Drosophila melanogaster: one gene and its partners. The protein of the gene in region 2 interacts with the protein of the main gene of each other region in a pairwise test. Each region holds a gene or a part of one and is shown on either strand. Other genes may lie near its edges.

Evidence for each region.
Region 1: the proteins of CG13627 (region 2) and Lrpprc2 interact in a two-hybrid assay, tested with the Drosophila melanogaster proteins (one large-scale study listed by BioGRID).
Region 3: the proteins of CG13627 (region 2) and nolo interact in a two-hybrid assay, tested with the Drosophila melanogaster proteins (one large-scale study listed by BioGRID).

Annotation. Positions count from the first base shown.
Region 1 is NC_004354.4:1,458,497-1,462,250, forward strand, and holds the start of Lrpprc2 (Leucine-rich pentatricopeptide repeat containing 2), read right to left. Parts: upstream 2,122-3,754; 5' UTR 2,063-2,121; coding exon 1-2,062. Other genes in the region: CG14787 (uncharacterized protein), read right to left, coding at 2,367-3,149; Ns3 (nucleostemin 3), read right to left, coding at 3,598-3,754.
Region 2 is NT_033777.3:24,710,775-24,714,528, forward strand, and holds the start of CG13627 (uncharacterized protein), read left to right. Parts: upstream 1-2,005; 5' UTR 2,006-2,132; coding exon of another isoform or gene 2,133-2,201; 5' UTR 2,202-2,317; coding exon 2,318-2,323; intron 2,324-3,754. Other genes in the region: CG46316 (uncharacterized protein), read left to right, coding at 2,133-2,201.
Region 3 is NT_033779.5:21,682,017-21,685,770, reverse strand, and holds the start of nolo (no long nerve cord), read right to left. Parts: upstream 1,666-3,754; 5' UTR 1,432-1,665; intron 1,226-1,431; 5' UTR 860-1,225; intron 1-859. Other genes in the region: eEF2 (eukaryotic translation elongation factor 2), read left to right, coding at 3,730-3,732.

The DNA of each region.
Region 1 (3,754 bases), on a different chromosome or scaffold from region 2:
GGTGGCACTCGAGCTCGTCTATGCTCATGTCGCGCGGGTGCTTGATGAAGCCTCCGTGGAGCGAGACCGTGTCAGCTGGCAGGGCGAGCTGTGGGTTTTTCATCTTCTGCAGCGTTTTGGCCAGATCCTGGATGAGGTCAACGTCATCAGTGGCGTGCCGGACCACGGAGAGTAGAGCTTCGGAGGCAGCGGGTGAGATTTGTAGCTCTAGGCGTCTCAGTTCGTGCAGAAAACGTCGCAACGAGGTGGCATCCTGGCGCAGACGCGTCTGAGGTCCAGTCATTTGCAGCAGCAAGGAGCCCACAAAATCTTCTCCCCGTTTGAGTGCCTTCTGCTGCAGGGCTTGGATCACTTTGGCAAATACCTCGAAACGCTTCGTGGCACGGGCATTGACCGCCAGCGAAGAAAGTGGTTGGAGCAGCGTGGCCAGGTCCAAGCGTGTCGGATACCGATCAAGCAAGTCCAGCACCTCGGACATCTGATGCTGCTGCAGCAAGTGGCTCACAACCGGGCACAGGGTCTGGGAAGGCTTGACCCCCGCCGATTCAAGTGCCTTCACGGCCTCCAAGGGCTGCACCAGGGTTTGGCGCAGGTGGGGAAACAGGTAGTGCCGCAACGTTTCCTCGTCGCACTCAACGCGCAGGCGCCGCATTTCAGAAACCAGGCGTAGCATGCCGCTTTCGCCCTCCCGCCGGTAATGGTGCAAGATCAGGGGCCAGAAGTAATGCGGACGAAGTTCCTCGCCGGCTGCAGATAGATCCTCCAGGCAGCGTAGCGCGGATGATGGCTGACGGCGAAGGGCCAACTCCGCCACCAAATGCAGGGCGCGGACGTTCTGGTTCCGCTGCACTAGTTGACCGGCGAACTGGATTGTTTGGTCCAACGGAACTTGGGCGCGGAAGAACTCCTGCAGCAGAAGTGCACCGTACTCATCCACGTTCTGATTCTGCAACTCGAACTTCGGAGCGGGCAACGCACCTACGAGCTGTATGACGACTTCGGTGCGTCCTTGGTGCACCAGCTGAATGCACAGGCTTCTGATGGCGGGCGGCAGGTCGATACCTGTTAGAAACTCGCGGGGCAGTTCCTTGACAAGCAGTTGGATTAGATCCGTGTCGACATCCTTGCTGGCGAGCAGACCCCGCAGCATCTGGAGCAGCTGAGGGGCGGTGAATCCGTGCTCCACCTGCAGCAGCTCCTTGGCCTGTGCCAACTGACCGTTTTCCAGCAGAGCCTCGAACCAAATGGCCTGAGTGCTGCTGCCTTGCTGTATTCCTGCGGCCCGCATGCTGGCTAGGACGGACTCCGCCCCGGGCAGATCACCGCTGCGGGCGTGGCCCAAAAGCAGGGCGTGAAAGTTGTGCTCCGTGAGGGCGAGGCTGCGCTCGCGCATCTCCGACAAAATCTCGGTGGCCATGCGCATGTTTCCGGCGGCGCCGGCCACGTCCAAAAGAGCGCCGTACAAGGTGGAATCGGCTGCTCCATGGTAGACGGCAATCTCCGCCAGCAACGAGCGATAGTCAGTCAGAGGCAAACGGTTCTGGCGCAGCACCTGGAGCTTCGTGTGGTAATGTGCCAGCGTGGGCTGGCCCAACTTGATCAGTTGAGCCCAGAGTCCCTTGAAGAGCTGAAGACGCTCCTGGCTGCTCTGAGCAGGAAGCAGTTCGGGCACACAGGACCCTAGAAGGAAGTGCACCTCTTCGATGCCGACTCCTAGCGGCGACGCAGACTCCTGCAGGAGCTCCAGCAGGCGCTGGCAGTGCTCAAAGTTGATCAGATCGTGCTGCCGGTAGTACGCCTCCAGCTGTGTCCACGCATCCGCCACGCTGGCTTTCGGTTTTTCAGAGGAGGAGGCGGGGCGCCGGCTTCTTCGCTCCACCGCACTGAGGACGCCACCCGTTCCCAGGGATCGCATCTGGAGCAGCGAGAACGGCACCGCTGGCGCCGCAGGCTTCGTTGCATAACGGAATGCCAGGCTGGCGGAGGAAGCGCTGCGTCCTGGCAGATGGCCCAAGCGCTGCCTGCAGAGCCACACGTTCCGCAACAGTCGTGCTCGCTGCATTTTGCCCAAGTTAATTAATCTTCCCCAAAATTACGAGATTTTACTTTCGCAGTTTTGCGGCGAGCAACAAAAAAAAAACAACACGCGCCGGCAATCAGCTGTGCCTTCCAGTCGAAAGATATCGAAAACAGTGCTGCCCATCTGTATATGCATACCCGTTTCCGTTGCAGATTTTGATTTAAAGTTTAAGTTAAGTCATGGAGCTCCAATGAAAGGAATGAAAAGAAATACCATGGGGACATGTCATTATTTTATAATCGCTATTTATTTACTTAATCGATTCAACGGATCTGGAAGCGCAACCCTACAGCGAGGATCTGGCCAAGCGGCGTCGCTGCGCAGCCAGCGGAGTGCCCTCCTCGCGCAATTCGGCCAAGAGGGAGTCCTGCCAGGGACGAAACAGGAGGCGCTTTGTCGCCAACAGGGAGGCGGAAGGCAAGCGCAAGTATTGGTCGACGCGGTGCCAAAACTCCTGCGGCTCTCGCACCACACTGGCCACAAGGCCACACTGGAGGGCAATGCTGGAGCTCGCTTGATCGCCCAGACGAAGCAGCCAGTGGACGTGTGGCACAGTCCAGCCGGGACCCACCTTGGTGCAGGGATCCAGGTGCGAGAAAGCGGGCACAAAGGCAGATAACTCCGTTGCGAAGACCAGATCGCACAGGCTGCACACGCTCAGGCCCAGACCGACGCACTGCCTCTCCACAAAAGCCACTAGGAGTTTGCGGTGCACAAGCAGCTTCTTGGCCAGCGAGCGCATCACAAAATTGGCCGCCTTCTCATGGATGTACTGCTCCTCGGCATCACCACTGCCCACAGCTTCTTCGTGGGAAGCGGTACGCCTACTCCTATTCTCCAGACCCTGTTTGAGAGCCAACGGTTCCATCTCACCGCCACATGCTGCAGAAAACTCGCCCGAGAGCACGACCACCTTAACGGCGGCGTCTGCACTCGCCAGGTCCAGGGCGCGCATCAGCTCGTAGAGGGTTCGGCGTTGCCAGCGCCGCTGGAAGCGTATGTGGAGCAGCCCAGAACGCTGTTCGACGACCAGCTCCCTGAAGTGCTTGCAGCTCTCGTTTGTGGCCATCGCTGAAGACTGCGTGATAGAGACTGTGGCCAAGTGATAGAAGACAAGAGCCGTAAGCATCTGCGCTTATCACGCGGTCAAAGTGCAGGCTTCTTTTCTCCGCGCAACTGCGCTCCTCCGCATCTCGAAATTACCTTCCATTCACGCATCTCTTAAACTCAATTGGGGGCGCCATTCCAACAACAGTTTGCTTTCATTGGTGTGTATGCTAAATATATGCTATCTTTGTGTTAATCGTTGTGTCCAGGCTGGGCCATCAGATGGCTTATCTATGTTTCTCTCAATCTGCTAGTTGCGCAATATAACTCTTTCAGTCTGAGATTGTGGGCCTTCAAACTCTCGAAGTCGGGGGGACTTTAATATATATGTATATACGTAGGTTTAATGCTTAAAATGTACAAGTGCCTCTTAGACACACCCTTCGGAATAAATAACTAATGGGCTACAATCAGTGCTCGTCCAGGTGCGAGAACTTTTTGCGCAGCTTCTCGCGCCTCTCCTTCTTCACATGACGCCAGGGCTTGGCCGCCGGATCATTGCCGGCTACTAGGGACCCGTCGTTGGCCAGGCGCACGTTAGGGAAGTTAGTGCGTCCTTTGACGTGG
Region 2 (3,754 bases):
TATAAATTAGCGTAAGTGCAAAGGTTTTTGTAGAAAACTCGTCAATAAAAATGAAAACAAAAAAAAAAAAACGTATAAAATATATTATCATACTCGTAAATGTGAAGCTATGCAGCATTTTACTGTAGTTAGATTTTTTGTATAGAATCAACGTTTGCAGATAAAAACCAAAACGAAAACCGAAACTAATATGATAATTTTACAGGTTTAAGGCGGAAATGTTCATTTTTTTAAGGAATAACGATATTAAGATATCATAATTAACATAACAAATTGCAACTAAAAAACCAAGCAAAAAAAGAAAAACGAAAAAATATTTTTTATAATTTCGCAGCACTTTCACATGATACCCGCACACGCACACATACACATCCGGCAATGTGTGCTAAATAAATTGTATAAATAATGCAAACCCAAAAAAAAAAAAAACAATGCAAATCATATTAATGTAGTTACATTTTTTTAGTTTTTACTCGCTATTTATATGAGGTATATTTACACAACGGAAAACGTAAAAGTAGACATAAATAAAACGTAAAAAGCGATAAAAAAAATTCATTAATTTACATTGAAATTAAAGTAAACTAAACCGAAATCAGAGCAGAAAGCATAAAATGACAAATTAGTTTAAAATGGTCCTGCAAAGGCAAAAACAACAAAAAATAAACAACATTTTAAATAACAAATTGAAGAGCTAAAAATGCATATTTTAAACATTTGTCTAAAACGCAACCGAAAGAAAAAACCAAAAGAAATGATAAATGTATGAAATAAAAGGTATAATAATAATATTATGTTGTTAATGTTTAAAAAACCTTGTTAAAAATAATATTTCAAAATAAAATATAAATACGGAAAAAAATAGCAAAGAAATTACCACCAAACTGAGAGCTTTATGAAAGTGAAATTTTGATTTATGTCCCAAAACTTTGGGCCGCCAAATACTGACCCAAAAAATGGCTGGCCGGGCGTTATAAAATTCCAATGACCAATTGCGTTTAGAAATTGGATGTCGCGCCTTGCATAAAATGCGACCAATTATTGGGGAGCGTTTCATAAGCATGTCTCATTATCATCGAAGGGCCTTTGGTATATGTACATCCGAAATGTGAAGCCTATCATACGGAATCCATTGGTTATGGAAATTGCATCCATTCGTTTTTGGGACACATCTGAATTAAGTTACATTACCATCAAATATCGCTTAAAATACAGCTCAAGCTTTTCTACGAAACCCTTAGCCCCCAATTGAGCTGACTTCCGTACAAAAACTAATTCGAAAAAGCTTTCACGCATTCCTTTGAGTCTTCGACGAGTTTAGCCAGATATTTAATGCAGTTAAATATGAGTTTAAAATTATTGGAAAAATATTGGCAACATCTTAAAAAGTATGAAAATGTTATAATAATATCTTATTATTCCCAAAATATTGTTTGGTTCCGCTTTAAAATGTTTGCTATTTTCCCCACTGTGCCTGCCGCATTTCGTAATTTCAATCGGTGGCTCTGCTCCTGTTTGCTGCCCCAGCAAAAAAAAAGACTTAAAAAGTGGGGCCAACAGGTGACAGACGGCGGCATTGGGGGGCCATCTCTTGATCATGTGCGCCTGGTCCGCATTGCTTTTTAAGGTAAAGAGCGAGTGCTGACTTGCGACGACAACAAGTTCGCTGCTTAAGTCTTTTGTTTGGCGCCGTCTCTTTCGCTCCTTTCTTTCGCCGGCCAAGAACAGTCAATGGGAAAACACTTTCGTTGCGATTAATCGGCCACTTGCTGGCAATTCATGTAGCTGCTGGTCGCGTGCTGCGCTTTATCCACTGCAAACTAGTTTTATTTGTTGGCTTTTTATTTATTTTATTTTTTTTTTTTTGTATTTCATTCGGCGCCAGAGTCAAGAAAATCCGACCACTTTCTTCAGTGCGCACTTCCAATGCGAGTCGTCACTCCATTCCAGTGGAACTCCAGCGGATGGGCACATGGTTTTTGTCCGCCACCAGCGACCAACTAACAGTCAGTTGTCTTCGCGACTTGAACAGGTGCGGACGTCGCTGCTCCTCGAATTTATATTCGAAACTCTTTACAAATCTTTTGTGCGTGCAGTTTAAGATCGAAGAAAGCGCCGCGGCGCTCGTTGACATGAAGTTAATTGACGTGATTATATACCTAATTGCCATTTTGATCTTCATCTATTTGCTGCTGGAGTAGCAGAAGAAGCCAAAAGTTGCTCGACATTTGCCCCAGAGCTTTCTACAGTCTACCAGATCCATCAGCCAGCTACCCGACAATAAAACAACGAAAATCTCTAGCAAATCCGAAAGAAGATGAGGGTAAGTGATTCACGCGGGTATTGTGAGTTTGTTGGCCACAATTAGCGGTTATTAAAAAGTCTCTCACTGCGCACAGCATAACACAATAATGGATTGGCTTTAATTTCTATTGCAAATTCAATGGCATTTCTTCTTCTCATCGGCGATCAACGACTTCAGACTGAGATTGGCATTCAAATTTGGTATCACCTTCACCTTCGCCAGCAAAGCCAGCAAATTGCAATCGCTGCACAATGAAGCTGTAGCTTCTTCAATTGAATTGAAGTCGTCGGAATATTTGTCAAATTGCAAGGTGGCCGGCAAAGCGAGCACTTTCATTTGCAATGGGAGCACTTGATGCGCCAAGTTTCGCCAAGATCCAGACAATGGATGGCTTTACGTGCACCAATTGCATCGCACACTGTGAGTTGCAAGCTGCAAACTGTGAGGCACAGGCGGCTGCCTCAATGTGCAGCGGGCTTGAAAATAAAATGCTTGCCGCTAAAATAAAAGTTGCATTTCGAGTTGCAATTTGGGTTAACCACACCGTTGTTTATGGTCGACGCTGTGGCGACAGCCCGCTGATCAATAGTTCCGCCTAGGCCGTTGGCAAAAATCCTTTGTCAGGTTCAATGGCACTGCCGGCCAAGCCCAAAAGGAAACCCGAAATTATGCGAATTCCATTTGGACTTTCGTTGAACGGGTTATCCGCCGTCGCCGTGGGCCATTCCCTGCCAGACTTTTCAGTGTTTGGCATCGGGCACCCGTCTCCTGGCAGCAGTTCATTCACCAGCAGGCCGCCCCTGGTATTTGCATATGATTATGATGCATGTTGCAATGGCGACAAACTAACTAACTTACTAACTAACCACTCCATAAACAATAAGCCACCAATTTTGTGGCAATTACCCCGATCACCGCCGCTGCAGTCAGTTTCAGTTGCAATCGGCAATCCGTTTAAGCAAACGCAGCACGTAATCAATAACTATACGTATTGGACTCGCCTAGGCATTTCACCTCTTGATTGACGTCTGGCTAACGGCACACCGTATTGCCATTGTCATTGCCGCCGCTCCGGTGGCTCCAGTGGCTCTGCTGGTGCGCTGCCCAGGTGAAATTTCAATGTCCAGTGGCCGCCTCAAATTACCCACTTCCCCTTCCATCGACGAGACTAAAGAGACCCATGCCAGCCGCGCTGAAGAGGCACATACTCATTCTTTTCAAGGAATAACATGCATTTCATTTTAATGGTTCCTATATATGTTTCTATAAAAATCTGACATTTTACGCCTTAATAAATTTATTAGATGCATGATATGTATTTCTTTCTTCGTTATTGTGTTATACCTAAACTAATAGAGCCATTCCCTTTAACCTATATAAAATGCATGAAAAATCCAAAATACTCGTATATAACGTATAAGGTAGGCTGTAAGTTTCTAAAGCCAATTT
Region 3 (3,754 bases), on a different chromosome or scaffold from region 2:
GTGACCACACGGGTACGGGTACGGGCAGGACTTGACGGCAGAATCATATGAACATCCCCCGGTCAAGACGTTTTCCACATTGGCTGAATTTTCATTCATACCTTGGTTTTTTATGCACCCGAACCATACAACCGACAGTCTGTTCGGCACTTTACACTGTCGCTGACTTTTTGCAAACTTTTTCCGCATTACCTTATTCACACTTGTTTTAGCACCCCACGCTCAACAAAAATTGTTCTTGGATGTTTTACAATTTACTTAAAAAGCACGACGACATTGTGTGAGTCGTCGGAACCTTTTTATGCATTTGCCGTTTATTAAGGAACTGTCGACATATGTGAACACTTATGTACATTGCTTGGTTCCCGTGTGCCGAGTTCGGATTGGGCCTATTAAGCTTTTGTGTCTCATTGTGTGCTTTACAAAAATACATTGGGACCGGGCATTTCGTATTCTTATTAAATCTTTATTGGGATTTTGTCCGAAACCTAAAATATGCACTCTTCGACGGTACACATATAAAGTTTCCTATACTTTTGTTGGATGTTATCGGACTTCGTACATGGATTGAGTTCAATTACTAATGGGGGTTGGGATAATAATGTAAAATCTAGCATAACGATCCTTGCTTTCGATAACTCTTAATTTTAGTCTTTAGGACCCAAAAGAAATATTGCATTTTTAAAAGCACTTCGTTCGGCAGTTTTTCTCTCAACTCAAGTCTTTACAATATAGAAGCTTAATCAAGTGGGTCTACCGACCTATGCTTCACAAACCATGCAAGTTATAAGAAAACTGAATAAAAATTAAAAGTTTAGTAGGATTTTTGTATGTAGACAAGTAAAGTTGTCAGACTTACGGCAATCAGAAATTAAATGGCTTGACTCGCTCATCTAATAAAAATCCAAGATCCATTTTCAAGTTTATCGGAAGCTTCCACACTCAAACTAAATTAAAATTTAGATTGACGCAATTGCCACTCGTTGGACAATAAGTATCGTTTTAACTTTTCGTGCGACAAAAACGATGGAACATGCTTTTCCAAAATGATGCATTTGACGGTTTAAGAGTATTTTAGGCTTATTGCTCCTTTTTCTGCGTTGTAGTTTCTAATTATGATTTATATAATAGTTGGTTTGCCTGTCGTTTTTTATAGAGCTTTGTTTATATTACTTTTGGTTTCATATTAAATGTTACATTTTATTGAGTAATTAAAATGTATGTTCTAAGTAAAGAAAAGAAATAAAACATATAATTTTTGTCAGCATAAGTTAATTTTTTATTATTGAAATTATATTATTTCGATCATATATATCATTTCACATATTTTGTAAATTTCTAGTATTATAATTTTTCACTTTGTCGAAAACACAACATAAAGTATACTTTAAATATTTCGGCTCAAATTGGTCGGTAAACGTTTAACTTTACATTTTTTGAGCAAAAGGTGACTGATAATATTTGCAAACGGTTTTAAGTGGATAATCCTAGACCACTTAATCACGTAATTTAACTGAATCTTTTTGAATATTTGTTGCTTTCGCACTACAACAACACCGTCGCGCACAAAGCAATACATCAACTGTGCAACGTGAAAGTCCCCAATCACTGAATTTTCCTTTACCGTTAGCACAGCCCGCGAGCTCGGAAAATCACTTGAAAACTGTTCGCCCGCGTCGTCATCATTTTCATTTGCCGGCCGTCTTCGCGCAGCAACAATGCTGCCGAAACATTAGAACGAGCTTGACTCAAAATGCGAGCAACAATGCTGCAGCAACATTGGAACGAGTGAGTTTTTGAATTCGAGTGAGGTGAGTTCTGGTTGGTGAGGGGTAAGTGAGGTGAGTTCTAGGTGGTGAGGGGTATTGTTTGAGTGATTTTTTTTTAATGTGGAACACAATAATGAGAAAAAGAAAAAGCTCTTTTCTTTCCCGAAAGCTGTTAAATTCAGCAAGAGAGCTATTCTACAGTTTGAAGCAGCTTCACGAACCATTTCTATATTTGATGCGTGGGCACCGGTGGGCAAATATGTACGTGGTTTAATTTTTAAAAATTTATGGAAATTTACAAAACGAATACAAAAATCAACAAATATCAAAACGTTTGTCAAAAGAGAGACAACATGGTACGTGTATGTAAACAAAGCATTATTTTGGGCGGAAAGGTGTTTGGCTATGGTTTAATTAAAAAGTTTTATTCAAAATATACCAATTAGGCGTTCTGTCTTCCCCGGGTTGAAAATATTCAACTGTTGTCCTCCTTTCAATTGACCAATATCTCTAGTTCCTGGTTAGTTTTCCACGTTTTTTAGAAAAAATAAAATATCTGATATAAGCGGGATCGCAAGTGGAGAATAGGGTACAGTAGAGTAGAGTTTCCAAGGCTGCTTTATCAATGATACGAACCTGAACTCAGAGGTGACATGAGGCCGTCTAATTCGAAAGTTTCAAGTGACGCTAGAGCAAAAGGAGAGAAGAGAGAACGCTATAGTAGAGTTCCCTGAGTATCAAACACCCATTACTTATCTAGTGTGAATGCGAACGCCATATTTCATAATTTATAAAATAATTATCTTGTTGTTGGCAAATCGATAGAAATTTACAAGACTAATAAAATTATGAACAAATTTGGAAAAATGGTTAATGGTGCGGTTTTAGGGCGTTAGAGTGGGCATCTCAGCCTTCTAGTTTTTATAGCTCCTGAGATCTCAACGTTCATACGGATAGGCGGACACATGGACATGGCTAGATCGACTCGGCTATTGATCCTGAGCAATATGGTTGGAAACGCTTCCTTCTGCCTGTTACATACCATTCAACGAACAAACGATATCCTTATACTCTACGAGTAGCGGGTATAATGAATACCAAAAACACTTACGCCATGACCTTCCACCGCATTTTTTACAAATTTTGAAACTTCTTGTCGGAAAATTTGACTTTCGGATCTCTTGATTTTTTTCGTTTTATTATTTGTCTGCCAAATTTCTGTCGATATGCCGTGGCGTGACCCACTCTTACACCTACAAACCTCAATAAGTTTTCAAGCCCACAATTCAAACCTTTTTTTAATTCCTACCGCAACGCCAACAAAATTTTTAAATATTTTCCTAGAGAATCGCATTAGCTATGTAATGGGTATCTAATAGTCGTAAAAATCGACGATAGCGTTCTCGCTTGCTATACTTTAAATATTACTGCGTGCGTAGAATTTCGAAATGCCGTTTGATCGAAACTATCATAAGTCGTTAACTTTAAAGGCTCGGCATCTATGAGCAAATGAGAATATAACTAGCTTTCACTTAAAGTTTATTTTTCATAAGATAGTTTAAGCGATAAAGAAATATATATATATAGATTAGATTATTTTTAAGAAAAATAATTTAGAAGAAATTTAAGCGGATGTATGTAAATTAATAATAGTGCTTAGCAATATTTATTTATGGCTATATAAACAACCACGATTTCGACGCGGAAAATTACGTGGAAAATTACGAAAACGTCATTCTGTAAAATAAAAGTTTAAAAACTATAAAGTAAACATGCAAAATAACTATCTGATGAATCTGTCACGTGAACTACTATCGATCAACTACTGGTTCCGACTATCGAAAATATCAAGAATTGTCCCAGCTCTATGGTCGCTGCAGCGCCTCGCTCTTTCCTGTCGAAACGCCGTTGAAAGGCGTAGTGTTTTTTTGGTCCGCGAGAAAATCTCCATACATCCAAAATGGTAGGTGCCCAAAGTCAGAAAT